Caenorhabditis elegans: one gene and its partners. The protein of the gene in region 2 purifies or fractionates together with the protein of the main gene of each other region. This does not show direct contact. Each region holds a gene or a part of one and is shown on either strand. Other genes may lie near its edges. The genes, in order: F29B9.1, ctf-18 and Y104H12D.2.

The links.
Region 1: the proteins of ctf-18 (region 2) and F29B9.1 fractionate together in Caenorhabditis elegans (co-fractionation; one large-scale study listed by BioGRID). This does not show direct contact.
Region 3: the proteins of ctf-18 (region 2) and Y104H12D.2 fractionate together in Caenorhabditis elegans (co-fractionation; one large-scale study listed by BioGRID). This does not show direct contact.

What each region holds. Positions count from the first base shown.
Region 1 is NC_003282.8:4,661,297-4,670,600, forward strand, and holds F29B9.1 (Protein-lysine N-methyltransferase CELE_F29B9.1), read left to right. Parts: upstream 1-4,082; 5' UTR 4,083-4,127; coding exon 4,128-4,189; intron 4,190-4,246; coding exon 4,247-4,427; intron 4,428-4,473; coding exon 4,474-4,602; intron 4,603-5,068; coding exon 5,069-5,259; intron 5,260-5,795; coding exon 5,796-5,943; 3' UTR 5,944-5,995; downstream 5,996-9,304. Other genes in the region: jmjd-1.2 (JmjC domain-containing protein), read left to right, coding at 1-14, 61-345, 510-912, 967-1,093, 1,452-1,772, 1,825-2,056, 2,375-2,747, 2,802-3,539 and 1 more; F29B9.12 (uncharacterized protein), read left to right, coding at 8,247-8,333.
Region 2 is NC_003282.8:10,117,159-10,128,626, reverse strand, and holds ctf-18 (AAA+ ATPase domain-containing protein), read left to right. Parts: upstream 1-1,982; 5' UTR 1,983-1,988; coding exon 1,989-2,053; intron 2,054-2,107; coding exon 2,108-2,274; intron 2,275-2,316; coding exon 2,317-2,555; intron 2,556-2,601; coding exon 2,602-2,804; intron 2,805-2,847; coding exon 2,848-3,016; intron 3,017-3,061; coding exon 3,062-3,519; intron 3,520-4,094; coding exon 4,095-4,347; intron 4,348-4,394; coding exon 4,395-4,658; intron 4,659-4,712; coding exon 4,713-4,976; intron 4,977-5,024; coding exon 5,025-5,240; intron 5,241-5,689; coding exon 5,690-5,944; 3' UTR 5,945-6,090; downstream 6,091-11,468. Other genes in the region: Ras GTPase-activating protein-binding protein gtbp-1, read left to right, coding at 52-114, 159-687, 743-985, 1,033-1,391; irld-21 (Receptor L-domain domain-containing protein), read left to right, coding at 6,340-6,625, 7,065-7,466, 7,953-8,174, 8,218-8,374, 8,708-8,808, 8,853-9,074, 9,121-9,167; C04G2.10 (Protein kinase domain-containing protein), read right to left, coding at 10,606-10,692, 10,738-11,462.
Region 3 is NC_003282.8:1,171,149-1,183,364, forward strand, and holds Y104H12D.2 (DUF7930 domain-containing protein), read left to right. Parts: upstream 1-6,873; 5' UTR 6,874-6,890; coding exon 6,891-7,039; intron 7,040-7,150; coding exon 7,151-7,292; intron 7,293-7,398; coding exon 7,399-7,638; intron 7,639-8,338; coding exon 8,339-8,439; intron 8,440-10,165; coding exon 10,166-10,388; intron 10,389-11,443; exon of another isoform or gene 11,444-11,513; coding exon 11,514-11,642; 3' UTR 11,643-11,716; downstream 11,717-12,216. Other genes in the region: cec-2 (Chromo domain-containing protein), read left to right, coding at 1-18, 414-469, 645-1,130, 2,026-2,294, 3,489-3,822, 5,288-5,527; rmif-2 (RecQ-mediated genome instability protein 2 homolog), read left to right, coding at 11,827-11,935.

The DNA of each region.
Region 1 (9,304 bases), 5.5 Mb from region 2:
CCGAAATGGATAGAGTAAGTGTTTTATTCATTTAAAATTTTAAAAAAAGTCTCATCTCAGAATTCGGTTGATTTTGCGATAGAATCAGTGCTCATGAAAGTGAGTGTAACCTCCGATTTCACTGAACTTCCTCCATTTCTCAACGTAATTTTCCAGGCGAGAGCTTACAACAAGATGGGCGCTCCAAAAGATCCGAGGAGAAAGCAGCACAATCCGAAGAGCGAGCCTAAAATCGAGCCACATGTGACAGATTCATCGGATAATCAGGCTGCAATGAGCAACAAGATGGAAGCGGAAGCGCCGAAGATGGAGTCAAATCAGAACTACGTCAGCAACGGATCTGAGGTATGGTTTATTCTGAAATGTGGAAGATTATTTTCATTCAAAAAAAATTTATTTATAAATTTATAAATTTTTGAAAAAATTCAAATTTCCCGTGGCAATATCATACTGAACTTTTAAATGAAGAAAAAAAATTAATTGATAAATATCATCAAATTTTATTCCAGCCTCCATTCCGTTTCGTTTCAATTTCGAATTTCGACGAAATGAAAACAAAAAAGAAAGAAGTTCAAGAAGAATTGAAGCTTGAGGTGGACTCGGACAGTGAAGAAGATGATGTCCCAGAGCAGAAAACTCCAAAGGAATCGGATCGATGTGGAGGATGCGGAAAATTTACTCATGAAGATGATCTAATTGCTCTTGAAGAGGAAAAGAAGAAGGAAAAGGAAAAGCCACTGATGAGCAAGAAGAAATCTCACCATCACAAGAAAAATGACTTCCAATGGATTGGCTGTGACTCTTGCCAAACCTGGTACCATTTTCTGTGCTCAGGCCTCGAGCAATTTGAGTATTACCTGTATGAGAAATTTTTCTGCCCCAAATGCGTTCCACATACCGGACATAGCATTCGTAAGTTTTTTCATCGAATAGCTTGCAATTAAATATATTTATTTATTATTTTAGGATACAAAGTCGTCGCCCCACATCGTTATCGCTGGTACAGTCCGAACGAGAAGCATCTCGGAATTGAAGTTGGCTCAAAAACTTGGATTGAGGATTTCATCACCAGAGAAAATACTGTTCCCTCACCGTAAGGGAATTTTCATTAAAAGATGACTTGGTTGTTATTTGTGAAGACTCGAAATACGCCAAAATGAACGAAGACTTCACAAAAATTTCAAGAAAAAGAGTTAATCTCAGCTGAAAACTCCCATTTTTGCCGTTTTCTCACATTTTTCGTTTATTTGGTACATTCTGAGCTGTCAGTTTACTAAAATTGGCCTTTTTTGATTACCTATTGGCTTCAAATGTACATAAATCAACGAAAAAACTTGAATTTATCACCTATAATAATGTTTTTCGTTCATTCCGGCACATTTTGAGTCTAAACAAGCAAAAAACCCAGACCTCCCTTAAAGATTATTTAAAATTAAATTTGTATTCTTTAGAACCGACGATGAGGTTTGCATTGTCGAAGATGGCTACGAATTCCGCAGAGAATTCGAAAAACTCGGAGGAGCTGACAACTGGGGAAAAGTTTTTATGGTCAAAGACATGGACGGCCTCAATATGACAATGCCGAAGCCTGGATTCGATTTGGAGGATGTTGTGAAAATTATGGGATCGGATTATGAAGTGGACACGATCGATGTCTATAATCAGAGCACCTATTCGATGAAGCTTGATACGTTCAGAAAACTTTTTCGCGACACTAAAAACAGACCACTCTTGTACAATTTTCTGTCCCTTGAATTCTCGGACAATAATGAGTGAGTTTATTAACTGAAAACAATTGAAAAATTAATTAATTAACATTTCCAGGATGAAAGAAATCGCTAAGCCGCCAAGATTTGTCCAGGAAATCTCAATGGTCAACCGCCTGTGGCCTGATGTCAGTGGAGCGGAGTACATTAAACTCCTCCAGAGAGAAGAATATCTTCCAGAAGATCAGCGACCAAAAGTGGAACAGTTTTGTCTCGCAGGAATGGCTGGATCTTATACGGATTTCCACGTGGACTTTGGTGGTAGTAGCGTCTACTATCACATTTTGAAGGTATAATTATTGAAGGAATATAAATGGTTCCGCGGATTGTGAACGTTCTGACCCCGCCAAAATGTTCTCAAATTAACGAATTTCGTTTGAAACTTCTGAAAAAATTCTCAATATTTTTTTGGTTTTTTTGGAGGTTCAAAATTAAAAAAAAAAGACTAAATTTGGCTAAAATCTCCTATTTTCCGAGATTTTAAAAGCATTTTTGAGAAGCCTCATCACGAAATTCGTTGATTTGAGCACATTTAGGATCGTAATGTTCGAAATACCCTTCTTTCAACTGAAATTGGTTTTCTCAAAGCTTATTAACTCTATTTTCAGGGCGAGAAAATCTTCTACATCGCCGCGCCAACGGAGCAGAACTTTGCAGCTTATCAAGCACACGAGACATCTCCGGACACCACTACATGGTTCGGTGACATTGCCAACGGAGCTGTTAAGCGAGTTGTGATCAAGGAAGGTCAGACACTGCTCATCCCGGCTGGTTGGATTCACGCGGTTCTCACTCCAGTCGATTCGCTCGTTTTTGGAGGAAACTTCTTGCATTTGGGAAATCTTGAGATGCAAATGCGCGTGTACCATCTCGAAAACGCGATTCGTAAGGAAATTAGAAGCGAGGAGAAGTTCTACTTTCCGAATTTCGAACTTCTTCATTGGATGTACATGCGAAACGTCTTGCTTGAGAAGATTACAGGTAAGCAATTTACTAGTTTGTATAGCGGTTTTACTAATATTCGCTACATTTCAGAAGCCAATCAGGAAGGTTCTGACATGCGTGAGCAGGAGAAGAATATTTGGACGGCGTCACAAATCATGAAGGCCGAAATGGAGCGCTGGATGGATCGAGAGTTGAGATTGGGTCCCGAGAAGAACGCGATCCTGCCCACTGACGACAAGAATAAGATTATGATCTCGGTGAGGAAGCAGATTGAGATTCAGACGAAGATTCAGAATGCCAAGAATAAGCCGATGGGGTTGAAGCAGAAACGTAAAAGTCGAGAATCCGCGGAGCGGGATGATGAGGACTATTGCCCGTCCAGCTCGACTGCCTACAAGAAGAAGTATACGAAAAAGGCTAAGAAGGACAATGATGATGCTCCGAAGGTGAAGAAGGCGAAGAAAGAGGAAGTTCCCGAGGAGAAGGTTCCGGTTCCTGAAGCAGCAGGTCCTTCCGAAGTTACAGCTCCATTGACCATCAAGATTGGAATGGGACCGACTGAAGATCAGAAGGGCGTTGTCCAGATATTCAATAATCAATGCACGTCGTCTGGAAGAAAAGTAAAGTTGAATCAGAACGTGGCCGACTATTGTGGATCCCATCTCGAAGCACGCGTCGAAGAGATTCCGGAAAAGGCGACGAAAAGCTTCCGCGAGCTTGACAACGAACTGGAGCGCTGTGAAGCTGTTCATTCCGGAGAGAAAATCAAGAAGGTTAAAGAGCCAAAGCCACCGAAGCAACCAAAAGAGAAAAAGGAGAAACCACCACGTAAGAAAAGATCGAAACCTTGAGAACTGTTTAATAATTTTTTTTTTCAGCAAAGAAAAAGGAAATGAGTTCCAGAGATCGCCTCATGAAGAAGCTCAAAATGTGAACGTCCTCTACCTCAAGATATGTGTGCACTTTGACGAAATATAAATCTCGTACAATTATAAAGTGCCCCCCGATCTTAATAGTAATTTCCCCGTATTTTTGACTAATTTTTACATTCGTTTTATTGTTTTATTCACACAATCCCATATTCTTTCACGCGGTTCTTTTGCATCCAAAAATTTGTACAAGACGATCTCCCGAATTTACTGACGGGGATTTTTTTGTAGTTTGAAAATACACACGCACAATAAAGCGTTGATTATGTTAATTTTTTTCCTTGATGTGAACATTGTTGAAAGTGAAATGCAAGAAAATATCTGCTTTTTAGACTTTAAACTTGGATTTCCTAGAAGAGATCTCTCTAGAGAGTGAACAGAGAATTAGAGAAACGAGGCAAATGCAAATGCAAAAAAAGCTCTATGGAACTACTTTTTTCAGATTTTGGAATTTATTATTTATTTTCGGGTTTTAAAATAGCTTGAAATGAGCGACATGAGCGAACAAAGTGTTGAAATTGCTTCTTCACAACTTGGAACCAAGGATTTGTAAGTAAAAATTCTAAAAATTTACATCTAGAGTTGGCTAAAACATTTTTATTTCAGCTGGGATCAACGATACGAGTTGGAACTTAAAAATTTCAAGCAACACGGAGATGAGGGAGAGGTGTGGTTCGGAACATCGTCTGAAACACGAATCGTAAAATATTTAATCGATTCGAAAACCGGCAAAGATGCAAAGATTCTTGATTTGGGATGTGGAAATGGATCGGTTTTGAGGAAATTGGTATGGATTTCGAGCTCAAAACCTCTGAAATTCAGTTTTTTTTCAGAGATCGAAAGGATTCCAGAGTCTGAAAGGTGTTGATTATTGTCAAAAAGCTGTTGATCTTTCTGCAGCCGCTTCGAAAGCTGAGCGAGAAGAGGAAGAAGACGAAGAATTAGTAGATATTGAATTTGAGGTGTAAATTTTTGAATTTTGCATCATTAAAAACGGAGAAGAGGTGTTTATTCATCTAAAACATAAATTTTTGCATAAATAACGAAAAAATAGCTAATTATTTTGAATTTCCGCGCAAATAAATTACCTAGTTCCGACATTTTCGCGTTTTCCGACTAATTTGATTGGTTTCTTTTGTAAAAACACCGTTTATCAATTTTCAGACATTTTCCCGGGAAGAAGGCCTGAAAAGCGCTAAGTTTACTTTAATTTATAATTTTTTTGCGGAAAACTTTCTAAAAATTGACAAGGGGTGTTTCAAAAGTTTAAGGAAAATATAAGAAAATCGAAGAAAACGCGAAATGTCGAAACTAGGTTATTAATTTGCTCGGGAATTTAAAATTAATTCACCAATTTGAATTTTTTCTGCAAACCGCCTTTAAATATTGTTTTTCTCGAAATTTCAAAGCAAAAACGTTTTCTTTCAGCAATTGGACATAACCACACCGCCAGCCGACTTTTTCTCCTCGAAATTCGATGTAATTCTCGATAAAGGCACATGGGACGCGATGAGCCTATCCGATGAACGAGAAGCTCGTCTGAAAGCCTACTTGGGTTTTCTTGATAATGGTCTGAGCGCTGGCGGTCGATTTGTGATATTCTCGTGTAATTTCACTTTGTAAGTAGGCCTAAAAAGGGCCTCGAAATGAAACTTCTAAATAGGTCACTCCAAAAAATTGAGCGGCATACGAGCACTTTGAAACTGAGAAAAGTTGATCTGAAACAGCTTCCAGACCATTTTTTTCCATTAAAAAGTTTATCAAAAATTTGCATTGTTTTTTGACCAAAAATTTTTTGACCAAAGTTTTCAGTTAAAAATTGTATTTTTTCAATTAGGGAGATTTAAAAAAGAAAATCAATTTAGATATTTCCAACAATTTTCCAAGGTTTCAGAAAAAATCGGAATTTTTTTTGACTGAACCAAATTTTTTGATTAAAAAAAGTCAGGATTTTTGAATTTTTTAAAAATCGTCTCAAATTGTTCATTAGATTCAAAAAAAATATTGAAAAAATGAGCTGAACCGAGTTCAGATCGATTTTTTCTAGTTCAAAGTTCTCGTATGCACCTAAATTTTTTGAAGTTACTCTTTCAAATGACATATGCAAGTTCAAATACTTCCATTGTAAGTCGAAATCAATTGTTTTCCTTTTCAGCGACGAGATGTGCTCGCAATTCGGTGGCGGCGGCGGCTCAACAAGTCTAGAGATCGTGTGTGAAGTACCAGCAAGTCACAGCTTCTCGTTTGGCGGAAAACAAGGTGTCACTTCAACGGGTGCCGTCTTCCGGAAGAAGACTCTATAAACACCTCTCCTCTGTGTTATTGTTGTTGTTCATTTCTTTTCCCCCTTCCCCCCCCCCCCCCACATTTCTCCCATCGTTTCTCAGTTTCTCAGTTGTTATATAAAAAAAAAGTAGGTTTCTCTTATCTCTCTCCCACTGTGTTCTCTCTTTAGCTAATCAGGTGCATCATCATCATCATTTTAACGCCAGTGTTGCTCGGCATGATGGATCTTGGAGAAAGTGGCAGCAGACCCTTCTCCTCCTAGACTACTTTTCGCGGAAAATGGGAGTTTGATAGGGCGGCGCCTTCTTAGACGCGGGGAGCTCCTTCGTCTCCAGGGACTCCTTTTGAAGGAAGGAGATGGGGTGCTTGTGACCCGAAGATGGGGGCTCACTTTCGGCTCCGAGCACAAGTAGCAGCAACAGCAGCAGCTGCAGAGATTCCACGTTGTGAAAGAGCTTCTCTTTTCGACCTTTCGTCGCCTCATTAATCATTCATTCAATCTTTTTTACATGTTCGTTTTCTACCTCTTGCTCCCCTCCCGTACGCACACTTTTCACACATTTCTTTAATCCATCTGAACATGCATATTTCTCTTGTTTTCTTTTTGTTTTCTGGGTGACTTCTTGGTGGTTTTTTATTAGTCTGTATAGGCAGAGTGCCAAAGACAATTGACGACGACACACACACAAGTATAGTCGTTTTTTGGTGAAAGAAGGAAGGACGAAAATGTTATGCAAAAAAGTTGACTTCCGGAAGTTTTTCTGCAACTTTTCTTTTCAAAAACGTTCTGAGATTCAACTATGTATGCGCCTTTAAGCTAGGGGTACTGTAGTTTAAAAAATTTGAGCTTTTCGAGATTGTTTTTGATGATTTTTATTTTTAATGCTACATAGTTTTCTATTAAAAAAATAATTTTCCAGGTGAATTTTGCAATTTTTGATACGACGACAGATTTTTGATAAAGGTGTGCGCCTTTAATGAGTACAGTAACCTCCACTCCTTTTTTTTGTAATTTTCTATAAATATTATTCTATTATTTTAAATTTGTTTTTCAAAAAATAAAGCTTTTAGACACTACTGTAGTTCTTAAAGGCGCACACCCTTTTTCATTAAAATTTTTTTGAATGGTCTCACCGCGAAAAAGTTTTCGAATCTTTCCTTTTCTTTTGAAAAATAATAATTAAAAACTGAAAATCTTCACAAAAATCAAGAAAAAGTAGAAAAATGAAGATATTCGTCTACGAAATCCCGAAAAAAGGATATATAACTTTTTTTCACGGTGAGACCCATTCGAGAAAATCCGAGCAACATTTAAACACGCATTTCAGAATATTGTGAGCATAATAATTTTAAAATCTTTTGTTTTATTCCCCATGTTTCGATTTTTGCGCAAAAAATACGGTACCGGTCTCGACAAGAAAATTATTATTAAACTCGAAAAGATGTGCGCCTTTAAAAAATTCTGTAAATTCAGATTTTTATTGTTGCGGAATTTTTACTGGGTACCAATTGGATCTTCACAGTTTTTTTTTCAATCAAAATACTTAAGCAAAGCAAGCAAATACACATCGTAAAAAAAAACTATGAAAAATTGACAAAAAATTCCGCAGCCAGCACAATTTGAAATTACAGTACCCCTTTAATTCGCGCATTTTTAAAGAATCACCAAAAATTGGTCGTATCGAGACCAGGTACCGTATTTTTGGAAAAAAAATCACAAACTCACGGCTGACTAATAAAAAATAGCTTTCGATGTAGAATCATCAGTGCATTAAATTACGAGAAAAACCTTTCTACAGTACTCTAGTTGATTTATTTTTAGGAAATCAGAAGAAAAAATAATGCAATTTAAAGTTGGAAAGTGCAAAAATTTCAGTGTCAAAACTAACCGAATCAAAAATGACCTTTTCGTGCCAAGACCAGAACTTTCCAAAATACCAATAATTGAATAAAACGTTTAGTTTCCTCGTGCCACCCCGGCGGGCGGGTGTCACTAATTGTCAGTGGCCTGGTGTGACATCAAAAAGTTTGATTTCATTGTGGCCGTCGTGGGGTCCTCCCATTTCTCTTCCTCTCTTTGCCAACACCACAAACGGCGTTTTTTTTCATTTTCTGCGACCGCTTCTTCCTTTTTTTTATCCCACCGAACGTTATTTTTTTTTGCATAACTTCTTCCAGTTTTTTTAGTAGTATGAAGACAAATTGTTGTGTCTTCTTGTCCCCCCATCCTTCCCGCCGAAAAACATAATAAAATAATTCAATTACCGTCTAGCCGCCGCTTCTTGTCTTATTTTGAAGAAAATGAGCCCAGTTTTACAGAATGAAGCCTCATTTATGTGATCAACCAATGAATCTTACTCGGCGAGCATGCTGTCAACTTGTACTATTTTTGAATGATACTGAACGGGTGAGTATATTATAATTGGTATTTGTAAAACGATTTTTAAGTAATAGAATGTAATAGAAAAACTGATTCTTACATTTTTTTTTTCATTTTTGAAGGAAAAACGTTTTAGATAGGCACAAAAATGCATATTTGCTCAAAAATACGGTACCTAGGGTCTCGACGCGACACATTTTAAAAAGAATACTGTAATGTTTTTAATCGAGTTTTCATATTTTTTTACGAAAAAATTTATTTAATTATTTAAAAACATATAAATCGCTATAAAAAGCTGCGAAAAATCCTTGAAATTCCGAAAAAACAAAAGTTTGAAATTACAGTAATTTTTAATGACGTTTGGTTTTTTGCACAAATCTCAAAACTTAGCGTCTGGATAATACAAATCTGCGTTTACTGGGTCAACATCTGGTTTTACGAAAAAATGCGGAAAATATGTGGTAGGCAGGCATAGGAACGCCTGGAGATTTAATTTCTTGTCTATCAGTGTTGTTTTATTTGTCTGAATATGTTTTTTTTCCAAAAACTTTCGCGTAAAGTATGGTGCATTGTCATTACTGTACACACCAATGTGATGCAACATATCCATATTTTACGCGAAAGTTATCTAGAAAACAATGGTTACAGGCACAGTAATAGGCATTTAAGTTTACAGGTGTGTCAATGTCTGCCTGCCTGCCAACCGCCTATTTTCTGCATTTTGGCGTAAAATCTGGTTTTTTATGGTGTTATTTTTTCCTAAAAAATGCCAACAAAGTACAAATTGGACATTCAAATGCGGAACTTTCTCCAGATTTATATGTTTACTATAAACACAATAAACTTTCAAATCCACCGAGACTACTGTAATTATCATGTTTTGGTGCACACAAAACAAATGCCTGTAGTCATATCGCGCTGACCCTTCTCTGAGCCCCCGTCGAGCTTCTCTACTCTCTTCTCCACATACACACTCTCTCTATCCCAACGAATAAGGA
Region 2 (11,468 bases):
TTGGCAACAAATATAAATTGACAAAAATACATTTCGTTAATATATTTTTAGGAGATTGTTAAGTTGTACAATCATCTACCAGAAACCACCCACTTCAAGATTCAATCTATCAAGGTAAACACGACGTTCTTCGATTTTCCTACAAATATATTTTTAAGGGATACCCAACCCCACACAAACAGGGAGTGATTATCAATGTTATCGGAACCGTTAACCTCCGTCCATTCCTTCAATCATTTTTGCTTGGGCAACAAGGGCAGAAAAAATACTATGTCGAATCAGACGCTTTTCAGTACATTGATAAGTTTTTCGTCGCGAATACGGAAAAGGAGAAGACTACTTCGTCGACTGGTCATAACGGACACGCCAGTGGAGCAAATGGAAAGGATTCCAAATCTTCCAAAACCGAGCAACCTAAGGAACAATCAAAGCCGGCTCCTCCAAAGCAGCAAACGCCAAAGAAAGCTGAAGATCGTATAGTGAAGCAAGACACTCCGAAATCTGTGGAAAAGGAGGTAGCGAAAACACCGCAGAAACCACAGCTTGCCCAACAGCCCCCACAGCAGAGAGCCCCAGTTCCTGAGCCTGTTCAAGAACAGCCAAAGGTTCAGAAAACGTGGGCTAATCTTGTGGGTGGAGGTGGAAAGTCTCAGCCCCCACAACAACAAAGTTATGGACAAGGACAGCGTGAGTTGAAAAAACGAAAGATGATCGGGCTAGTCTCAGATTATTTATTTTTCAGAAATCCATCAGCAAACACAAATGCACCACATGCAGCCTTCCATGCATCAGCAACAACAAGGATCGCATGCTCCTCTTTATCAGCAACAGAGACAGTCGCACCCAGCTAATGAATTGCGCCAAGCTCAGGAAAGTTCAGATGCCAACCTAAATGAGCGTAAGATCTATTTGGGAGGAATCACTCGAGAGATTGTCCCCAGCAACACAGCTCAGGCTGAATCGGAAATCAAGCAGGTGTTCTACAGTAAGCAAATTAATAGTCCCAATAGTTCACTAAATTTTCATTTTAAGAATATGGAGAAATCGAGGAGGTTCGCATGCCGCGCAAGGTTCTTGACAGTCCGAACGACACATCGAAACATGCCTTTGCATTTATTACCATGCGTAACAAGGCCGGAGTAAAAGCCATTTTCGAAGCGGCTACAAAGGATGAGCAAGGCGTGTGGAAGCTTCCACTCAAACTGGATGCATTCGGATTTGACGGACATGCTCAAATTAGTGAGCAACGTGATCAACCACAAGGCGGCGGATTCCGAGGAGGACGTGGAGGTTTCCAACCACGCGGTGGACAATTCTTCCGCCGTGGCGGTTCGGGTGGTGCTCCACGAGGTGGTATGCGCAGCGGTTTCCAAAATGCGGGACAAAATTAGAAGCTTTCCGTTCTCCTTTTTCCTTCTTGTAAGAATTGCACATCCATTAGATTCTGTACCTATCCTTCTCATTTTCCTATTTATTGTTTCTCCTTTCCTTCCTCACCGTTCTAATAATGATGATTTAAGTAAGAAGATTCTGGTATCTGAATTTTATGGCGTGTAGCGTTTTAGTAGATCTCTCAACAATCCAATCCAATCAGCCCGCATCCCATTTTCACATCCTATCTCCCCGGTTTTCGGTGATTGACGACCGTGATCCCATCTGAGTTTACTCTTTTCGAGTACAAGTTGCAATCAGACATCATCCCACCACCGAATATCCAAGTTGTATTTGAATGTTGTTTTAATATATTACCACTTTCCTTCTCCTTTTACAAGCCCCCGTTATTGTTTCCTTCATTGGTGTTCGGGAGTACTCTTTGTACTCAAGTTCTTACCCCCATTTTGGCACGTTGGAATTAAAATAAAGTTTTGTATCTAAATTATTCAAGTTTCTCAATTTGTTTTTTTTATATGTAGTGTGTCAAGTAACAGTGTATTGTACTTATTGTTGTGAGATTGTGTTTCTAACATTTCTAATGGATACAGCAAGACATGGATGATGACTACAATGTACTGCATTCTGGGTTTGCCGACGATGATGGGCAACTTGAATATCCGTAAGATCTTTATGTTGAGAAGCAGAAGTAGTTTTACATTCGCTGAATTTTAAGAGATGATGAGGATCAGCTAGCTGTAGTTCCGAATGGAGACTCTGAAAATCAAAGAATCAATGAAGTTAGGAATGCTCTCGAAGAAGTTGGATATGGTAAAAGAAAAAGACGCTTGAATGAAGTAGAAGACGTATTTGATCAATATGGAAGACGTTCACATCCAATGGGTCAGTCAAAAAGAAGGTTTTCCAATTAAATTATATATTTAGATTGGCATATGAGAATGGAAACAGTTTCCAGTGAAGTATTACAAAAGTCACAAGTAAATGCTGTTAAGAGAAGAGCCCTCGAAAGCTTGGAACAGAAAATCAACGAAGCAGCTGCTCAAGCTGAAAGAAAAATGAATGAAAATCATCATTCTAATGCTTTTGACGATTTTCAAAGCGGAGAGCAGACAATTTCTTCACTTTGTGAGCTAGAAATGGAACGGAGATATAGAAGACGACAGGTTATTACTTTTCCTTGAAAGATTATATTTTTATCATTGAATTCAGGAAATCATGCGAAATCCGGTAACTGATGGTTCACCTTGGATTGGTATCAGTGATGTCGTCAACGGGCAACGATTTTATATTCGAACTTTCCGTGATGATCGTCTTTCTGTTCCGTTAGTAGAATCGATTACCCAACAAGCAACCCGTTCGAGGGTCGGTTTTCGAGCTTTTCAGTCGATTTGTCAGGAATCCGAACGTCTTAGGTAATAGTTTCACTAGAAAATTGAATACTTTTATAGTTTTCAGCAAGTTGAAAGAAGAATCTCGCGTTAAAGAACAGGAAGCCGAGTTTTCACGCATGCTTAAAGAAACTGAAACACCGTCTGAATATGAAAATAATAAATCTCATCCAGAATCATCATTATGGGTGAACAAGTACGAAGCCAAAAATTTCTCAGATTTGCTCTCGGACAGTGTAAGGAATTACATTATTTTAAAAAAAGAAGTCACGATATTGCAGACTGTCAATCGAAATATTCTTACATGGCTGAAAATGTGGGACGAGTGTGTGTTCCATCAAAAAGTCGACGATTTACTAGCAAGCCTCGGTGAAAAAGAACGAGAAGTACTACACATGGATAATGGCAAAATTCGGCGTCCATCATCGAAAATGTTGCTTCTTTCTGGCCCGGCTGGTCTCGGTAAAAGTACACTAGCACGAATTGTCGCTCGTCAAGCAGGCTATTCAACAATTGATGTAAATGCAAGTGATGCTCGAACAGTCGCAGATTTAAATAAAGTACTAGAAGGAGCTGTAAAAACATCTCGAACACTTGATGCAGATCAACGGCCAGCATGCCTGATTCTTGATGAAATTGATGGAACACCAATTGATACTATTCGTCATTTGGTTCGGTGTATTCAAGCAACAGGCAAAAAAGCCATTCGGCGACCCATTATTGGAATTTGCAATAATTTGTAAGTTATTTTATGGCTTCAGTGACACAGAAAGAAAATATATAATAGGATATCGGGAACAGTTGCAAAAACATTTTCAACCAAAAACCAATTTTCTCCAAAAAACCGAAAAAAAAAACACTTTTGATTTTTCCATCATACCTACATTTTTGAAAGATAATCTTTTGTTTTTTAGTCCAAAAATCCATTTTTGCAAGAAACACCAACTAAAAACGACAGTCCTAATCGGGAACAAAGATGTCAGCGAAAATTTTGACGATTTTTTTCACTGAAAATCTAAAAATCGAAAAACGACAATTTTTCGAAGAAAAAAAATCAGTGAACCATAAAATTATTTTTTTTTTTTGAAATCAAATTCTGTTTTTGTTGATAAAAACACAAGAAAACATGAATAAAAATAAAATAGAATAAAAATGATCAAACTTTCAAGATATTTTTCGAAAAATCGAAAGAAATCAAAAACTAAAATTCTTGGTTTCAGATTTTGGTAAAAATCGGAACACAAACCCCCTTTATCGGGATAACTCAATGTATTCGTAAGATGTGTTTGATTTTCTAATTATTTGTTTTTAAAGGTATACGCCAGCATTGCGTGATTTACGAGGAGTCGCCTGGTGTGTGCAACTAGTCGCAACAAAACAAGATGTTTTAGCAAAACGACTGGAAGAAATTTGTGACCGAGAACGTCTTCGATGTGATTTGAGTACTTTGAGAAAGTTATGCGAATTGTGTGCAAATGATATGAGACATTCAATTAATACTCTTCAATGGGTAGCGGTGGCAGCACGAAAATCGAATCGAGCAATTGGAATGAAGTTGATCCATGAGGTATGACGCTGTATATTTTTTGATATTAATAGAAATCTGTTTTTTAGGTTATTGAGAAAGAGAAAGGCGGATCTGCTTCTATTTTCGAACATTGGTCGTCAATTCTTGAGTTATCTAAACATACAGACGCAAAGGGAGGAATCAAATCTGTACGAGAAAGAATATTTGATATCGAACGAATATCGGCAGACCATGGAGGAGAAGAACGATTTGTGTCTGGTTTACATGCAAATTATCTTGTAACTCTTCCAATTGGAGTAATACGCAAAGCGTCTACATGGTTTTTGTTCTATGATGATATTCAGAAAATCGTGAGTTTTAATTACTATTAGTATTAAACAACTATTATAAATTCTTGTTTTCAGGTACACAGTCTTCAAAACTGGTCGGTTCTAAAGTATGTTTTTTCATTCTTCGTTTCCCTCCATCTCAACATTGCGACTCATGCTCGTGTTCCGATCGCCTATCCACAGTTGGAACAAAATATTTTCCAAAAAACGAAGGAATCGGAAGAAACAATCAGCGCAGTTCGATCATGTGGACAATCGACTAGAGGTGCACCAAAAAAAGAGCTTTTGCTGGATATTTTGCCATTCATTGTCAATATTGTTCAGCCACCTATCAAACCGGTAACAATCGCTGGTTGTTCTCTTTTTTTTTAATTTTTAAATTTTCAGATGAATGAGTCATTGTATAATCAACGGGAACTTGCGACTTTCAATCAAACTGTCTCGATTATGTGTGATTATGGTTTGACATACACTGCCACAATGGTAAAAGATCAAGTTAATTGGTTATTTACTCCTTCAATTGATATTTTGACAATGTTTCCACTGGATGGACCAAAGCGGCCGTATCTTGCCAATGCGACAAGACAAATGATTGCTCATAAGGTTTGTATTTATTGTTTTAAATTAATTTTCTTTCATTGCCTGAAAGTTTTGAATTCACACTTTGTGCTTTCTTAAAATAAGGAGTAGAGTTTGTAGGTTTTCTCATCAAATAGATTAAAACCGGCCCGAGACACTCGATTTTGAAAATGAGATTTCTCAAAAAAAATTTCAACATTTTTGTGGCGTTCTGCATTTTCGAAAATTGTCGCAACAACTGGAATACAGTTTTTAAATCAAATTTTCACCCTTTAATAAAAACTGTATTTCAGCTGCTACGACAAGCTTGGGAAAATCTCAGATTTTAACAAATTCGAAATTCGAAATTCTGAAACACCATAAAATTGTTTGGGAAGTCTCAGTCTATTTGAGCAAAAAAAAAGCTCCGTGTTCTGCCCAGGCCATGGCAAATTTTATTTTCAGAATTTAATTTAATTCTTAAAAATTTTCAGATCACTCTTATGCGTGTTCGTCTGACAGAGAGTACCTCGAATACTGAACGAATTTCTACGAATGCCGATAAAATCAAAGCAATCGTTGAATCAGAAAGCAAAAAGAAGAAGAGACTATCTGCCGGAGCAATGAAAAGATTACACAATGGAAGACTAACAGATATAGTATTTAATCATCAGGATGGAGACAGTAGTGCTGTCAAAAAGAAAGTCACCATGCAACAACTCAACTCTATACTTTTTGGTGATTCTTAACCTTAATTTCAAAGTATTTGTTTGTAAAATGACACTATTTTTGCTGTATACTACTTTTTTCAGTTGTTTCAGCGCTGTATACACGTTCCTATGATCTTTTGCTCATTTTCCGATTTTATCACCCCAATGAACAATACATTCCTTTTAAGTTCAGACTAAAACATTGTTAATTTTCTGCAGAAAATAATGCGGGGTTCGAAATTGATATGAACAAAAACATGATCTCTTAATAGTTCATAGAATTCACATTTCAAAATTAAGAATGCTATAATAGCATTTCAGCTTCATCGAAAATGTCACTTGTTTTCATGGCAACTCAATTGAAATATGCAATTAAATATCTTCACCGATTCCTACTTCCACAAACTTTATTCTCAAACAAAAATATTTTGAGAATGTTTTTTCATATATTTATGTGGCTCTTTTATTTATCGGAAGTTGATTCAGACAATTGTTCATTTAATGTTCATTATATCACAAAAGAGAGCTTATTTCCAACTGAATGCTCTCAAATTATTGGAAGATTTCGTATCGATCAAAATTCTGAAATGAAAAGTGAACAATTGATCACTTTATTCAAAAATGTTCTTCAAATTCGAGGAGTTCTACAAATATGGAATACTCAATTAACTTCAGCGCCTTTCATGAAAAATATTCAGAATATAACTGGAGATCCATTGGGTAATATATTCAGAGAACACTATTATGGGGATGAAGACATAATCTTCTTCTGAAATCGTCGTGGAAATGCGCTCCATAGATAATTGAAATCGCCCCGCCCCTACAGTTCGGTCTCGTTGGGTGTAAGAACGAAAATTCAAACATTTTCAATTAGTTTTACCGATTTTTAAACATTTGTAATATTTTTTATTAGATTTTCTGTTGTTTTTATCTTTTTTAGGCGAAAATGATTTAAAAATGCCTAGAACGAAAAATACCAAAAATGCTTGAAAATTGAGAAAGGCGACATTAACGGATAACGTTTGAATTTACGCTTCTGCTTCCAAATACCTAACGAGACTCATGGTTTGGGGGCGGAGCGTCTTCAATTGCTCGTTTCCATGGCGATTTTTAAGTGAATATTGCAATTGAACACATTCAAAGTTAAATATTTTTTCAGATAAAGGATTATCTATTTTGAACAATACAAAATTAAATAATCTGAATATATCATCACTATCAAATTCAAATAACATAGTCGAAATCAAAAATAATCCAAATTTAAACTTACAAAAGATGTGTTCTATTATTCATGAAGTATTTTTCACTCGGCGTTCAATTTCCAAAAACTTATTTGATTGTGGCTGTGAAATTCATGGGAATTTCCAATGGCCCCAAGTCAAAAATTTTCCTGAAAACTGCATTGTTTTGTATGGAAATATTATAATTGATGGTAATGCTCCACCGGTTGAAGTTTTATATAGATTATCAACAGTCAACAAATTATATGGTTTTATTCAAATTAAATCAAGTAATCTAGAAACGTTGGGTTTCTTACAGAATTTGGATGAAATTGAATCAGGTATTATTTTATCACATAATCAGGCAAAGATAAAACGTTTAAAATTGGCACTGCCTAGAGTTCAACTTGACAAGATTACGGCGAATCTAGACACAATTTAGACTTGTTTACCTAAACTATTGGAGTTTAACTTTTTAGCAGGAGTCAGTTATAAAGTTCAGCACAAGATTTTAGCTATTGGCAGTGCACCACTTAGATTTTTCATACTTTGTCTGAGTAGTTTCTAGTAATTGTAGTTTATAGTATCTAACAGCATTCTACTATCAATTTTGGAATCTTAGAATGATAGTTTTGGGTTACTGTAGTGGAACTGCGGGGATTTCAAAACTATATCACAACATTAAAATAGAAAATGATGTGAGTTAATACTGTATTCACTAAAAAACAGAAGACAAACTATCGGAAACAAAACCTCTAAAACAGAAAGAGTTATTAAAAGAAAGAGTTATTAATAAAAACAGTGATTCAAAAAGTTGAATTTTTAAGGAATCGAAGCTGATTACACAATAAATATTGATAGTAACAACTATCTGAGTCGTTTGGATCTTATAAAACTGAAAACAATCAAAAGTAAGAATTCAAATTCCGATATTTCATTATTCCAAAACACGAAACTTTGCTTGGATCCGGAATTTCTTCAGACGATTGCACAATCTTCGTTAAGAAAGTTGGAAGGATATCAGAGTATGTCATTTTGTGGAATGGATAGTAAGTATGAAAAAGGGTGTTTCAATAAGTATTTTCCATTTAGAAATTAACAATCCGCTGACTTATTGCACTGGAAAATTAACCGCCGTTCCTGATCGATGTACCCGGTATATTGGAAATATTTTGTTTGAAAACTATATGACCTCCGATTATGAAGATATTACAAATTATACGAAAATATCACAAGTAGATATGAAAAGGTGCTGTTTGATTTAAACTATTTGAAACAAATTCTAGCTGCATAGCTTTAGTTCCAACAATAATTCCAAGTCTGTTTATTTCAAAAGTGGATTAACAGGGATTTTGTTTAGGTATTGTGTTTGGTTACAGTCAAACCTAAATAATAGGAAATTCCAAAAACTTTTAGATTTTTTTTAAATTTTCCAAAAAAGTACATCAAAGGTTTGCTACATTGCCAAATTTTTGCTTTTAGAGCAACACTCTTAGAGCAATAAAACATGTTCTATAGTGTCTAGGTAACAAATGATTAAATGCACTTGTCAGGTCATTTAAAAATTTTTATTTAATTTTAGAGTGCAACAATTTGAAGTTATATTTGGAACAATTTATATCCAAGGAACTACACTAAAATCGTTCACATTGCCCAACCTTCAAGAAATTTATCAAGTTGAAGGTTTGTGATCTTTTATCTTATTTCACTGAATTTTAAAATTATAGATATTGTGAATAAAGGATCAAGACAACTGGGACCTAGAACTGTTATAGAATTCAGAAGAAACGATTTTTTAAAAGATATTTCATTCCCAAATCTCAAAATTGCATATTCTCTAATCACATTCAATTTCAATGGAAATTTGACAATGGATGATGATTTTTGTAGAAAAATGTCAAATGGAGTGAAACGAGTAACAGTTGGACTTGATGTTGACTACGATTGTAGTGAGTTTAAAAAGTTTTCACTTAAGTTAAAGTACTTCTTTTACAGGACCATATTTGGTTGATGTCACTACAACAACCAACACATCTACTTGAAAAAAGTGGAGTACAGCCAGTTACGATTCTGTCAGAATGCACTTTTAATACACTTAAATTACAAAAAATTATCATAGAACAATGTGATACATTTTTGAACGTTTTCTGTCAAAATTTTGATAAATGGCCAAGTTTTCGCAAAATTTGTGATTCTTGAAAAATGTCGAGCATTTTCGCACGTTCAAACCACTGCCTAAATACAAAGAAAGTAAAAATATTTTGAGCATTGCAACCACCTGTGGCTTGTGACACTAATAACCACTGGAGGTGGTTCTATTTCAAACCATTAGTTTTATCTGTAGTTCATTTCAGCTAATGTATGTACATTTGTTTCAAAAAAATGAATGCGGAACTATTTCTAAAACACTGGCATTAACGGAGTGAAATAATTACAAGTAAAATTCTAAATCAATGATCATTTAATCAGAAGTGCCAGGCAACTCAGCAGCCGAGAGTCTTCCTCATCTCGTTCCTTGCTGCCGGCTCTTCTTCAAACGTCCAGCGACTTCCAGTGGCTTTCATCCGCGACTCCCTCCAGTGGAATGGCTTGAGACTATTCTAACTCACATTCCATTTCAGACAGAATGCAAAACTACAATATTTAAATTTAAACTACGTTTTATCTTTCGAGATGGCGGAGTTAGACCTACATTTCTATTGCGTACTTTTTGCCTTTCCTCTGGCTGCTATAAATAACTCCTTCATCTTACATGATAAATATATGATTTTAATTGAATATGTATTATAGTTTTTGAAATGTTCTACAGTTTCTTAGTTGATCACTTTTTGATATCTTTTGTTTCCCAGTAGATATGACTTGTCAAAGTTACTGTATCTATAGCTATCTGCATATTAAGGATTATATTGATTCTCATCCTGAAATACTACACGTGGAATCAAAAAGTCCCATTTTGCTTTATTCTTCGAAAAAATGCGGGAGAAGTGACGCAGACATCTCATCTGATTTCGCATGGTTAAGAGTGTGCTGATGTCACAATTTTTCTGGGAAAATATTCCCGCATTTTTCGTAGATCAAACCGCAATGAGACAGCCTGACACCACGTGATACTACTCCCGATTTCTCCCGATTTGAGGCGCTGTGATCCTTGCCAACTAAAATGCTCTAATGGATGCACATGTTTGAGTTCTCTAATAAAAATGTACCGTTGACCTCAAAGATTTTTGTGAAGGCAAGAGTCAAGAAGAAATTGAAGAAGTTCAAGAAGACGGAAAAATCGAGTTAAAAATCTACATTGGAGATTTTAGATGATATTGATCCGTTCGCTCAAAGCTTTCGACTACGCCTCAGTACAAATTCGATTATTTGATGTTTTTTAGAGATTTCGACTGACTTTGCGTTCATTTTCAACGATTATATCAAGGGAAAATTTATATATTTAAAAAGAGAAAGAATAAAATAATAAAAGAGAGAAGGAGTTCAGTGCTTTTTGAAGATGCTGGCGTTCGGGTAGATGGCTGTGATGCTCCTTGCATCGGTGAGCCCATCGATAGCTGTTTGGAATGTCTGAAATTATTATTTTTAATTATTGAATTCTCATAATACACCAACCCGATTTTCAGCTTTCGACAATGTTTTCGAAATTTCCTCAGTAATGAAACTGAGGAAGCCCACGTCCGAATTGCCGTTGGCTCTGCCAAACGACGCCTCCGAAAAATCGATAATTCCGACGACCAATCCATGCGAAGGGATGCGGATCACCTTGCCATCCAGGGTGTACTTCAGAGTTTTCGGTGATGCTGAACGCTTTACGAGCACGTTCCCTGGATGAACGTCATTGTGGTTGGTATCCAAACGTCGCTTCGCAATGACAAGAGAGAGCACAAGCTGCTTGACAATCGATAATCCTTCGACTGCGGTTGTCAGCATTGTATTGTCCAAACTGTTTGATCCCAGTTCGACCAGGAGTCCAAGGTAGTGAGTAGCTGGGCATTGTGGATCAAGTTGATTGAGCTTGTCTTGAGTTGAGGCTGGCAGGTTCGTGAGAACAAAAGAATCGAAGAATGTCAAGTAGTTTGGAGTCTCTTTCTTGATAGTTTTGAGTGATCTGAGCGCGACCAAGTCTTCGAGAGCTTCCTTGTTTCTTGAGGTCCAGCTGAGTGGCAATAACTTCAAACACTTCATGGTGTTTCGGTGCTTAACCTTGTATGCAATGCCACGCAGGCCTTCCCCCAGTTTGCCCTCAACTACCAGCCGCGTTTGGGTCCAGTTTGTGACCTTCTTTCTCTTGACAAGATCCAGGATATTCCCATAACATCGCGAATCATCAGCAAGCTCTGCAA
Region 3 (12,216 bases), 8.9 Mb from region 2:
AAGCATGCTTGCAGAAACGTTAGTTTTTGTTGTTTTTTCTTGATTTTCTTTAATTTTTTCGTTGAAAATTGCAAAAATTCTGAACTTTTGCGTCATGGTGTACGTGCACAGCGGGCACGAGACTTGACGCGCAATTTAAAAAATACAATTTTTTCGCGAAAAAAACAGATTTTTCAACCTTTTTTCGTGGTTTTTCGAATTTTTTTCTTCAAAATTCAATTTAAAACGCATAAATTTTGTTAGAAAACCTATTCTACCCTGTTTTCTCCATAATTTATCGCAGAAAATTTCCAATTTTCAGTGAAATCTCAAAAAAATTAGATTTTCTTCATATTTTATTTTAAAAGCGTGTTTCAAACCTGCTTCAAATTAATTCTTAACCTAATTTCCGCATAAATTTCCTAAATTTTCAGAGCGGCGCTCAAAAGTCATGAAGGACGACGATCGAAGCTGGAATGTGAGCCGAAATGTACGAATTTATTGGAAAATTGTCAAATTTATGGATTTTTTTACTTAAAACTTGTGAATTTCACGCTTTTCTAACAAAAATTTGAATTAATTGTAAAAATATTGTTGAATCTGACGACGGAATTGCAGAAATCCCCGCAATTTGTCGTAAGATTCAGAAATTTTCAAATTTTTAGTCGAATCGCTCAAGAAATCGCTCAAAATCGTCGTCGAAACCTGCACAACGAACCGAGCCGATGACCCAACGCGAGAAATTTGACGCAATTCTTCAAATTTCCGAGATTTCCCTGGAAAAACAGTACAAACTTACCAATAAGAAGGTCCCGCGGCGATCACAGTTCACAGATCCGGATGCGCCGAAGAAAAAGTCAAAAGGCGCCCGCCATTATCGAGATCAAAATCTGAAAACCCTATTCAAATCCTCGCTTATCAGAAAATACAGAAAACCACAGGAGTCCGACGATGATTTGGAGCCCGATGTCGCCCAGGATTCACCCGAAAACACGCCCGCGCCGCCGACGAAATCGCCAGAAAGTTCGGGATTTTCGGAAAATTTGGAGAATTTGGGCGCCAATACGCCCTCGCCGAGCCCCGATTTTGAGGAAGAGCACTTGGAAAAGAAGCCGGAAACTGGGAATTTGACGGAAAATCGACCGAAAAGGGTACGGGATGCACCTTATCTTACGGAAAAATGCAGAAAAATTTGAAATTATCTCCAAATTGGCGTCAAATTAGGTGTTTTGGCGGTTTTTTGTGCAAACACCGCGAAAATACACCGAATCTTACGACAAAATACAAAAAATAGAGATTTTCTGCAAAAGGGCGTAAAGTTTGGTGTATTGGTTGATTTTTGCGCGTTAAAAATTGGATTTCACGACGAAATGTGTTAATTTTTGAAATTTTTGCCGAAATTTCAAAAAACTCCGCATTTTTTCGTAGGATTTAGTGTGACTAGGTTACTGTAGCACCACCAAAAGTGTGCAGTGCACCAGATCTTACGACAAACTGCAGAAAATTCAATATTTTACGGAAAATCTCCTAAAACATGCAAACGTCTCATTGAAAATTCAAGTTTTCTGCGATTTGTCGTAAGATTTTATGTATTGCACACATCTGACGCTACAGTAATCCCAGAAACACCGGATTTGACGACAATTTACAGAAAACTCGAATTTTCGGGTTAATATTTCCAAAATATCCATTTTTGAACACAATTTTCACCGAAAATCCCAGTTTTCTTCAATTTGTCGTAAGATTTTATGTATTGCACACATCTGAAGCTACAGTAATCCCAGAAACACCGGATTTGACGACAATTTGCAGAAAACTCAAATTTTCGGTGAAATTTTTCCAATAAATCCAATTTTGAATCCAATTTTCACCGAAAATTTCAGTTTTCTGCAATATCTCGTAAAATAAATTGTTTTGCCAACACATTTGAAGCTACAGTAATCCGAAGAAACACCGGAGTTGACGACAATTTGCACAAATATCGTTTTTCTGCAAATTGTCGTAAAATATGTTGCTTTATTCCACCAAAAAATTCAAAATTTTCAGGTTTATAGCCACGAAACGGCCGAATCAATGGAAAACTACGCGAAACTTCTCCTCTACACTGCTTTTGATACAAAATCCTGGGAAACACTTGGCGGTCACATCAAAAACGGCTTCCGACTGAGTTTTGTGTGCTCCAACGGGCTCACAATCATCGAAAATGTCGTTGAACTCAATAAAAATCTGAATAAATTCAGTGATTCGAGAGAATCTCGAATGGTCGCTGATTTGTTTGAATTACTCCTCAAAAAGGGTGTTGAATTTGATGAAAAGTGCGTTTTTTTTTTTCGGTGAAAATCGAATATTTTCCGAGAGATTTTGCATAAAAATCACTCAAAATTGATAAAATCTACTACAAATTTGCGTTAAGTACACAGAATCAGACGACAATATGCAGATTTTATCGAAAAAATTCCGAAAAACTGTAGATTTTGAGCTAAAAGTCGCTAATTATTTCATCGAAACCGTCAAAACAAAATTCCCGCAATTTGTCGTAAGATTCGGTGTATCGACACGGTTGATTGTGCACAGAATCGGCGATACAGTAACCCAAAGTCACATTTTGGATGAAAAATCAATAATTTCACACAGAAAAATTCAAAATATAAAGTTTTTCCAAAATTTTACCAAAAAAAAGGTTCAAAACACCGAATCCAACGACAAAATGCGATAATTCCACAGAAAAAATCAATAATTTCACTTTTTTTTTTTTGAAAAATTGATAAATATACCCTGAAAACCTATAAGATTACCCAAAAATCGATAATTTCAGAGAAAAAAAAATCAAAAAGGTCAAAACACCGAATCTGACGACAAATTGCAGATTTTTGCTGAAAATCGATAATTTCATTTTTAAAAATTGATAATTTCAACTAAAAAATCGGTAATTTTACAGAAAAATCAAAAATTTAAAACAAAATCAAAAAATTTAACAAAAAAAAATCAATATTTTTCAATCAAAAATAAATTTTCTACGAAAAATCAATAATTTCCACAACAAAAAATCGATAATTTCACAGATTTTTTTGTTGGAAAAATTGATAAATTCACACTAAAAACCTCAATTTTTACCGAAAATTCAAGTTTTGTGCAATTTGTCGTAAAATACAGTGTTTTGCACACATCTGACGCTACAGTAATCCAAGAAACAGATTTGACCAGATTTGACGACAATTCGCAGAAAATTCGAATTTTCGATGAAATTTTCCTGAAAAATACAATTTTCTTTACTTTTTCACGTTTTTGAACTCAATTCTTACCGAAAATTCAAGAAATTTTTACATTTCTGCAATTTGTCGTAAGATTCTGTGTACTGCACATATATATGGTTACAGTAATCTAAGAAACACCGGATTTGACGACAACTTGCAGAAATTTCGACTTTTTTCTGCAATTTGTCGTCAGATTGTGTTTACCAACAAAAAAAATCGATAATTTCACACGAAAAAAATTATCGATTTTTTCAGGACTTTACCGCCAACAATGTGTGCCGCCGTCCGTTCCACCCGTTACGACATTCGCCGTGATTTCCGTTGCCTCCATAATCAATATATTGATAAACGTCCACGAATGTGTGAATGGTTCAGTGCCACCGGCGGCGGCGGCTCCTGCGGCACCACCGAAATTTGCACATTTTGGAACAACGACGCTGGCTACCTTCCCAATACGCACCAACGCTCGAAATTCCACGTGGATTTGAGTGAATTCACTGGGAACAATTTGGGGCTCCTCGCGTTTTCAATGGCATGGCACGAGGATTTCATCGATAATAATTCTGGGGGGCCGGAAATCGTGAAAAATGTATGCAAAATTTGTGATTTTTCTCGAAAAATGATGCAGGAAAAATCGATAATTTTGCGAGCATTTTTACGCCAAAAACTAGTGGAAAATCGTGTGAATTCCATGCAAACACCGGACTTCACACGACAAATTGCGGATTTTCTGCAATTTTGCGTCAGATTCGGTGTATTTGGGTGTTTGCACAGATTCACAGGGGCTACAGTAATCCCCAAAGTTTAAAAATAAATAATTTTTGTTTCAAAATGATTCGAAAATGTGTGAAAAATGGGGCTTTTACAACAAATTTTATATGGAAATCGCGATTTTCGTACGATTTTCAATGAAAATTTTGAATTTATCGTGAATTTTCTCTACAAATCCGGAAAACGTGATTTTTCAGCCGTGAAAGTGCGATTTTTGAGCTGCGAAAAACTGCGAAAACTCCTGGTCCTGTGCAAACACATCGGTAATACACCGAACCTTACGACAGAATGCAGAATAATCCCGTTTAAACGTAGAATTTGAATTTTTCGCGTTTTGTCGTCAAAATTTTGCGCAATTTAATACTTTTTGTAGAAAAACTCCATTTTTTACCAAAAAAAAACCGTTCAAATCCAGTTTTCCGGTTACTGTAGCCATAAATCGGTGTTTACACCAAATCTGACGACAAATTGCAGAAAAAAGTCGAAATTTCTGCAAGTTGTCGTCGAATCCGGTGTTTCTTAGATTACTGTAGCCGTATATATGTGCAGTACACAGAATCTTACGACAAATTGCAGAAATGTAAAAATTTCTTGAATTTTCGGTAAGAATTGAGTTCAAAAACGTGAAAAAGTAAAGAAAATGGCTTTTTTTTTAAAGGTAAATTTCACCGAAAATTCGAATTTTCTGCGAATTGTCGTCAAATCTGGTGTTTCTTGGATTACTGTAGCGTCAGATGTGTGCAAAACACTGTATTTTACGACAAATTGCACAAAACTTGAATTTTCAGTAAAAATTGAGTTCAAAAACGTGAAAAAATCTAGAAAATTGCTTCTTTTTTTTTTGTTGATAATTTGACCGAATATTCAGATTTTTCTGCAAATTGTCGTCAAATCTGGTGTTTTTTGGATTACTGTAGCGTCAAATTTGTGCAAACACCTTTTACTTGAATTTTAGGTGGAAATTGAGATCAAATTGCATGTTTTAGGAGATTTTCAATAAAAATTTAAATTTTCTGCAGTTTGTCGTAAGATCTGGTGCACTGCAAACTTTTGGTGCTACAGTAACCTAGTCCACACTAAATCCTACGAAAAACTGCGGAGTTACGACAAAAAATATAGAAAATTTCATTTTTTTTTAAAGGTAAATTTCACCGAAAATTCGAATTTTTTGCAAATTGCTGTCAGTTTCAGTGTATTTGCGCAAGATTTTCATCCAATTTTCATTGAAAAATGCGATTTTCGCCCTGAAAAATCTCAAAATTTTTTAATTTTTTAATTTCCAGAACCGCTTCAACGCCCACATCGATGTCCCATGCTTCACCCTTTGGATGAACGGAAAAATGTGCGAAAAACTTGAAAATTCGCATGGATTATCGATTTTTCGGCCGCTCGGCACAGTGCTCGACGTCAACGAACTGAAAATCAAGATTACTGAACATTCGTCACGTTTTGTCGCAATTTTGCCGGTTTTTAATTTGAATTCCGACTGGAAAAATTGTTTTTTTCCCCTGGAAAATCAATAATTATCGATTTTTTTCTGTTGAATTCGTATTTTCTATAATTTGCCGTCGTTTTCACTCGATTTCCCACTGATTCATAATAATTTTCTTTAAAAACCCACTGAAAAATCGATTTTTCCGCTAGGGAATTAATTATTATTGATTTTTTTTTGATAGAAAATCGATTTTTATCGATTTTTCGCTAATATTTAAAAATCAATTTATCCTAATTTCTCACTGAAACCCCCCCCCCCCCTATTGCTATCATGAATTCATGATAGTTTTCTTTAAAACCCACTGAAAATCGATTTTCCGCTAGAAATTTATCGATTTTTCGCAAATTTTTCATCACTTTTTCCCGATCTCGTTGTTTTTATCCCGATTTCATGTCAAAAAAATCAATTCCGATTACAATTCCATGACCAATTCTAAATTACAGAAAAATCGATTTTTTACGAAATTTATCGATTTTTCGCTATTTTTTCATCACTTTTTCCCGATCTCGTTGTTTTTTTTTTGAATTATTGCTAAAAATCACTTCCGATTACAATTCCATGACCAATTCCGCCCAAACTATCGATTTTTTGCTTGAAAATCGATAATTTTTCAACCGATCTCTTGTTTTCTTTTTAATTATCATTAAAAATCACTTCCTCTCACAATTCCACCACCATTTCCGCCAACAAAATCCACAAAATTATCGATTTTTCCGCCGGAAAATCGATAATTCCTGTTTTTTTTGTATTTTCCCCTATTTTCTTAATTAAATTGCTTGTAGAATTGCCTAGTATCCTAGAATTCTAATAGTAACCGCTAATATTATTGATTTTTCCAAAAAAACCCTGAAATTATCGACTTTTACCTAAAAATTGTCGTTTTTCTTCTGTTTTTATTGTGTTTTTTCGCCGAAAATTGTCGCATATTGTTAATAGAATCTCATTTTCTGCCCAACATGGCGCAATTCTTTTAATTTACCCTGACTAATGTGCTTTTTCTCACTTTCTACACCATTTTTGTGAACTTTTATCGATTTTTTTTTCTCGTGATTTTCCCCCATATATCATTGACCTACTTCACACATATGCAACTTCTGAACACTGGAATAAATTTATTAATGTTTCATTACTAAAATCTTTTGAAATTGCGAATTAAATTGATTTAAATCGGGGTTTTGCCGCACTTTCTGCGATATATTGCAATTTTTCGGTTTGAACTCCCGCGCATTTGAATTAACGACACTCCGATATCCCGCCAGCGCGTGTTGTTTATCGCGTTTTGTTTTTTGAATAAAATTGTTTATTTTTGAGCCAAAATCTTTGATTTCAACGGTTTTTTCGTGATTTTTTGTTAGAATAACTGAAAATTTAGAGATTTCAAGCAAAAAACTATGCCAGAACCAACGGAATTGTCTGGAATCATCTCAAAACTTGAGGAAACCTACGCATTCGCCACCACCAGTCTTGGAAACGTATTTATACCGATTGCAGCGGCCAGAACCAAGAACGAGACGCTTTTAAGCTTGCTCGACAAGTTTTCGTGAGTTTTTTTTGCTGGAAAAGTTACATAAATCAATTAAAAATCAAAGTTTTGGGTGAAAATTCAAGTTTTTTCGAACTTTTCCCGGAAAAAATCGATAAAGTGTTTCAGATACAACGAAACTGTGCAAATGGTGGTTATTAAACAGATAGGACGCAAAAATAACTGCAATTATCAGGCAAAACTCGTGAAAAAGCTCGAAGGCTCAATGTTGGCGGCCGCCAGAATTTCCAATGAAGTTTTCGGGCCATTGGTGGGTTTTTAGGGTTAAAAACTTGGTTTTAAGTGAAAAAATAGTCAGAAAATTGAATTTTCCATAGTTTTAAAGCTAAAAAATCTCGAAAATCCCGTATTTCCAGATCGCCCAGGTGACCAGCACCACGGATAGCTACGCGTTTGCTCAAAACGACGAAAAAGGCACAATTTTCGTGCCGGGAGACGCTTTTGACGCGAAAATCGTGAAAAATGTGGGCCGATACGTGAATACCAGCAATCAACTGGTGCTAAAAATCAAGGAGCAAATCGAACGAAAAGGGTGTAAATGGGTCGCTGTTGAGGCTGTAAAACACTTTGTTGTCGAGGAAAATGAGGAGAAAGAGGTGGAAAATCGAGAAAAATCGATAAATTTTGATCTAGAGCTCGGAAAACTGCTGAAAAAGTGAATTTAGAGCAGAAAATTGGAGTTTTGAGCCGCCGAATGTCCAATGTTCAAGTAAAAAAATGTGAATTTAGAGCTAAAAAATTTAAAAAATGGCAAATTTCGACTAAAAATATAACTTTTCTCCCGAAAAAACGAATTTTTATGACAAAGTTGAGCCATTTTGGTATTTTTGCCCAAATTTCAGCTAACAACTTAAAAATGATCTAAAATATCCAAATTTTTGTATAAAAACCTAAAAGTTCTCCAAAAAGTTCAATTTTTTGCCCAAATTTCCGCTAAAACCTGGAAAATACTCTAAAATACCCAAATTTTTGTATAAGAACCTAAAAATTGCGAAAAAATATCCAAAAAAAAAAAAAGACTTTTTGTCCAATTTTCTGTTCAAAACACGGAAAAACTATCCAAATTGCACTAATTATACAAAAATCTGTTTTTTTTGGCCAAAAAAAATTTTTTTTCGGCTAAAAACTCGGAAAATTAATTAAAAATGCCCAAATTTTTGCCTAAAAACCGAAACATTGCAAAAAATTCACAAAAAACTCAATTTTCGCCCAATTTTCGAGCTGAAAACACGAAAAATGCTCAAATTTTTCCCCCAAAATATGCCGAAAATCAATAAAAATTTCAATTTTTTTCAGGCGGTAGCAACTGGAGAAGTAAAAATTTCGTGGGGAGTCGTTGTGGAAGTTGATGAAATGGAAGCACATGTATTAGATGAAAAGAATGGAATACTTGTTACGTTAGTAATGTTAAAAACTAAAAAAAATCTTAAAAATCTTAATTTTATAACTTTCTGTAAAAAAAACGAAAAAAAAAAATCGAATTTTTAGATAAAAACTCTGTAAAATCGAGAAAAATTGACTGTTTCGGGCTTATTTTCAGACAGAAATTAGAAATATAAAAGCTAATTTCACAGAAACATAAACTTTCACTAAAAATTGGCTTTTTACAAAATTTCTTCAGTGAAAATCTGGAAATTTTACCAGAAAAATTCCGGAAAAATGTCAAAATGTTGACCATAAATCGAAATTTGTACAAATTTTCGGAGAAAATTGCATTTGATCATCAAATTTCATCAGTTTTTACATTTTTTTCAGTGAATATCATACAATTTCACCAAAATATTGGAAAAAAATCGGGAAATTCACATTTTCTATGTGGAAAATATAAGAAACCAGCCGTGGACCGCACCTACGGCGCGGCCCCCGACTTTTTGAGAAAACACATTAGATATACGGTGTCTATCGCGGACCTCGATCGATGTCTGCTGCGCACTTAGCATAAGGTTTCCCAAAATTTCGTTGCTCTGATCAGAGATCAAACTACATAAGGACAGAAGGACACGCGCTTTATATATAGTAAATGATATAGGAAAAATCCTGGAATTTTCCAGATTTTTCTGTGAAATTCTAGAATATTTTTGGTTGAAAATGTCAAAAATCCAGAAAATTTTCAGAAAATTTCCCTGTATATTGTCTGTGACTTGTGTGTTTCTCTATCCGAATTGATGGTTTGAATAGTGGTATTCTCGGCTGAAATATGCAATAAATACCGTATTCCAACCAACAATTTGTGCAATAGAGCACATTTGTCACTGGAGATGCAGAAGCTATGCCCAAATTTTCATTTAGCGCGGAAATTTGGCTGTTTTCGGGTGTAAAGTAGAAAATTTGGAAATTTCGACATTAAAATTTATTATAAAATTTGAAAAAAAATCCATAAAAATCCCTTTTTTCTGACAATTTTCTGTTAAAAATTGGTAGTTTTTTGGGTTTTTTTAAATCCCAGTTTCCGAGGAAAGCTATAAATTTGGGTACGGTAACTCGGAATTTATGATGTTTTTTTTTAAAGCTGTAAAAACTGAAAAATTCTGCTCAATTTCCAATTTTTGTTGAAAACCTAGTGGTTTCTTGGATTGTTCTAATTTTTTATCAAAATCCTGCTGAAAATTAGAATTTTTAGCTTTTCCGCTTGTTTTTCGGAATTTTTTGTGGCTTTTTCCAGGTAAAAAATCCGTTTTTTACGGAAAAAACGGCAAATTTTTGAATTTTTCGATGTTTTTCCCATGAAAATCGGAAAATTTGTATTTTTTGTTTATTTTTAAAGGAAATTCGAATTTTTTTTCGTGGCGAGACCCAACCTTTTCAGACTTTGCGCAAAGTAGGTCAAAATTATACGGCAACTTGGCAACTGAATTTCCCAATACTGTCTGTGACTTGTGTGTTTCTCTATCCGAATTGATGGTTTGAATAGTGGTATTCTCGGCTGAAATATGCAATAAATACCGTATTCCAACCAACAATTCGGTGCAATAGAGCACATTTGTCACCGGGGATGCGGAAGCTATGCCCAAATTTTCATTTTTCAGGAAAAACACCTTTTAAAAGCCAAAATTGGGCCAAATTTCATAAATTTTTGGCCAAAAAACTTAAAATTTTCACCAAAAATCGCCTTTTTTTTTGCAGATGCCCAATTCTAAAATACACTGGCGGAGCAGATGATAGTCCTTCGGCTCGAGCACTAAATGACGTCATATCAATCGATAATCACGTTATGTTCAAAGCTATGCTAATCAATGGAAGATATGACGCTGTTGAATGGAAAAAAATTGCCGATTCTCATGAACTTGTGATGCCGAAAAAAGTGAACACGTCGGATTCGTATGCACAGACTCCTGCGTGTCTTGTGGTACGGGGTTTTGAGTGGAAATTTGGGATTTTCCGCTAAAAATGAGCTGAGAAAATCGGAAATTTTAACCCTAAATTGCCTGGAAATTCGGAATTTTGCGTTAAAAAAAGTGAAAAAAAAACATTCAATTTTAGATCCAAAAAGTTTATTTTGGAAGCTCCCACTTTGGCTGAAATTTTGATATTTCTGGTTAAATTTTACCGGTTTTATGCAGAATTTTTTATAATTTTCCACTTTAATTGGCATTTTAGAGCCTTAATTTTTACTAAAAATGCGCTAAAAATTTGATATTTTACTAACTTTTGTTAGAAATGTGAATATTTTATTAAAAAGGTTGATTTTTATGTAAATTAAATTATTTTGTCAACAAAAATTAGATAAAAATTCGGAAAACCCATTTTCCATACCGTTTTCAGATATTTCTGGCCTCCTTTGCAAAAAAATGAAAAATTGGAAATTTTCAGGAATTAAAAAAAATTCAAAATTTTTCAAATATCTAAACAAATTAGGATACTTTGACCGATTTTGCTACGCTTAGAAAAAGTTTTAGTCCATTTTCTAAATTTAAATCAATTTTCTGACGACATTTTTCAAAAAATTTGAAAAATTTCACACATTTTGACTAGTTTTTTTTCCAAAAATGTAAATTTTTTTTAAACTTTAAAAAAGTTTTTTAAATTAAAAAGCTGTAAAAACCGAAAAATTCTACCTAATTTCCAATTTTTTGTTGAAAACCTAGGATTAGCTTGGATTTTGCTAATTTTTCTCAAAATTGTGTTGAAAATCTGAATTTCTAAGCTTATCCGTTTTTTTTTCTAACATTTTCGGCGTTTTTCATCCCAGTTACCGAGGAATGCTATAAATTTTGAGTACGGCAACTCGGCAACTGAACTGAATTTCCCTGTATATTGTCTGTGACTTGTGTGTTTCTCTATCCGAATTGATGGTTTGAATAGTGGTATTCTCGGCTGAAACATGCAATAAATACCGTATTCCAACCAACAATTTGTGCAATAGAGCACATTTGTCACTGGAGATGCGGAAGCTATGCCCAAATTTTCAATTTTTCACGTGAAAACTTTGTCAAAATCACTAAATTTTCGCCTAAAAACCTGAAATATTCAGACAATCATGTTCCGAAAACTGCTCCAAAATCATCCAGAAGATATGGATCGATACTCATCAATATTGGATCAATTGCCACCGTCAGCACTTCCAGATTGCTATTTTTCCCGTGAAAATTGCACGGAATAATGGGATTTTTTTTTTGGTTTTTTTTTCGGTTTTATTCTCGAAAACGTGTTTGTCAATACTAATTATTGGGTTTTTTTTTCACAATTTTGCACTTATTTTCCGCACAAAATCGGTTAAAATTCCGGCTTTTTTTTACCTATTTTCACCCATTTTTTACCCCAAAAAACCGGAAAATCCATAGAAAATGTGCGATCGAGACGATTGTGCAAGTATCGCGAGCCGCTGCACCGGAGAAACTATCATTTGTGCATTTGTGGAATCAATCACACCGCCCAAGATTCGAGATAAGACGGGTAGGTTTTTTTTTTGCGGAAAAACTGCAAAATCCACTTAATTATCGATTTTTGGTGCGGAAAACGCCGAAAAATTGTCATTTTTGGGTTACTGTAGCCCCAAACATCACACCAATGCATCGGATCTTACGACAAAATGCAGAAAAAATTCGATTATTACGTAGAACCGCGTTTTTCCGCATTTTGTCGTAAAATCCGGTGCATTGATGCGGTTTTTGCACGGATTTAGGGATACGGTAACCACAAATTCGATTTTTCATTAAAAAATGACATAGTGCTAA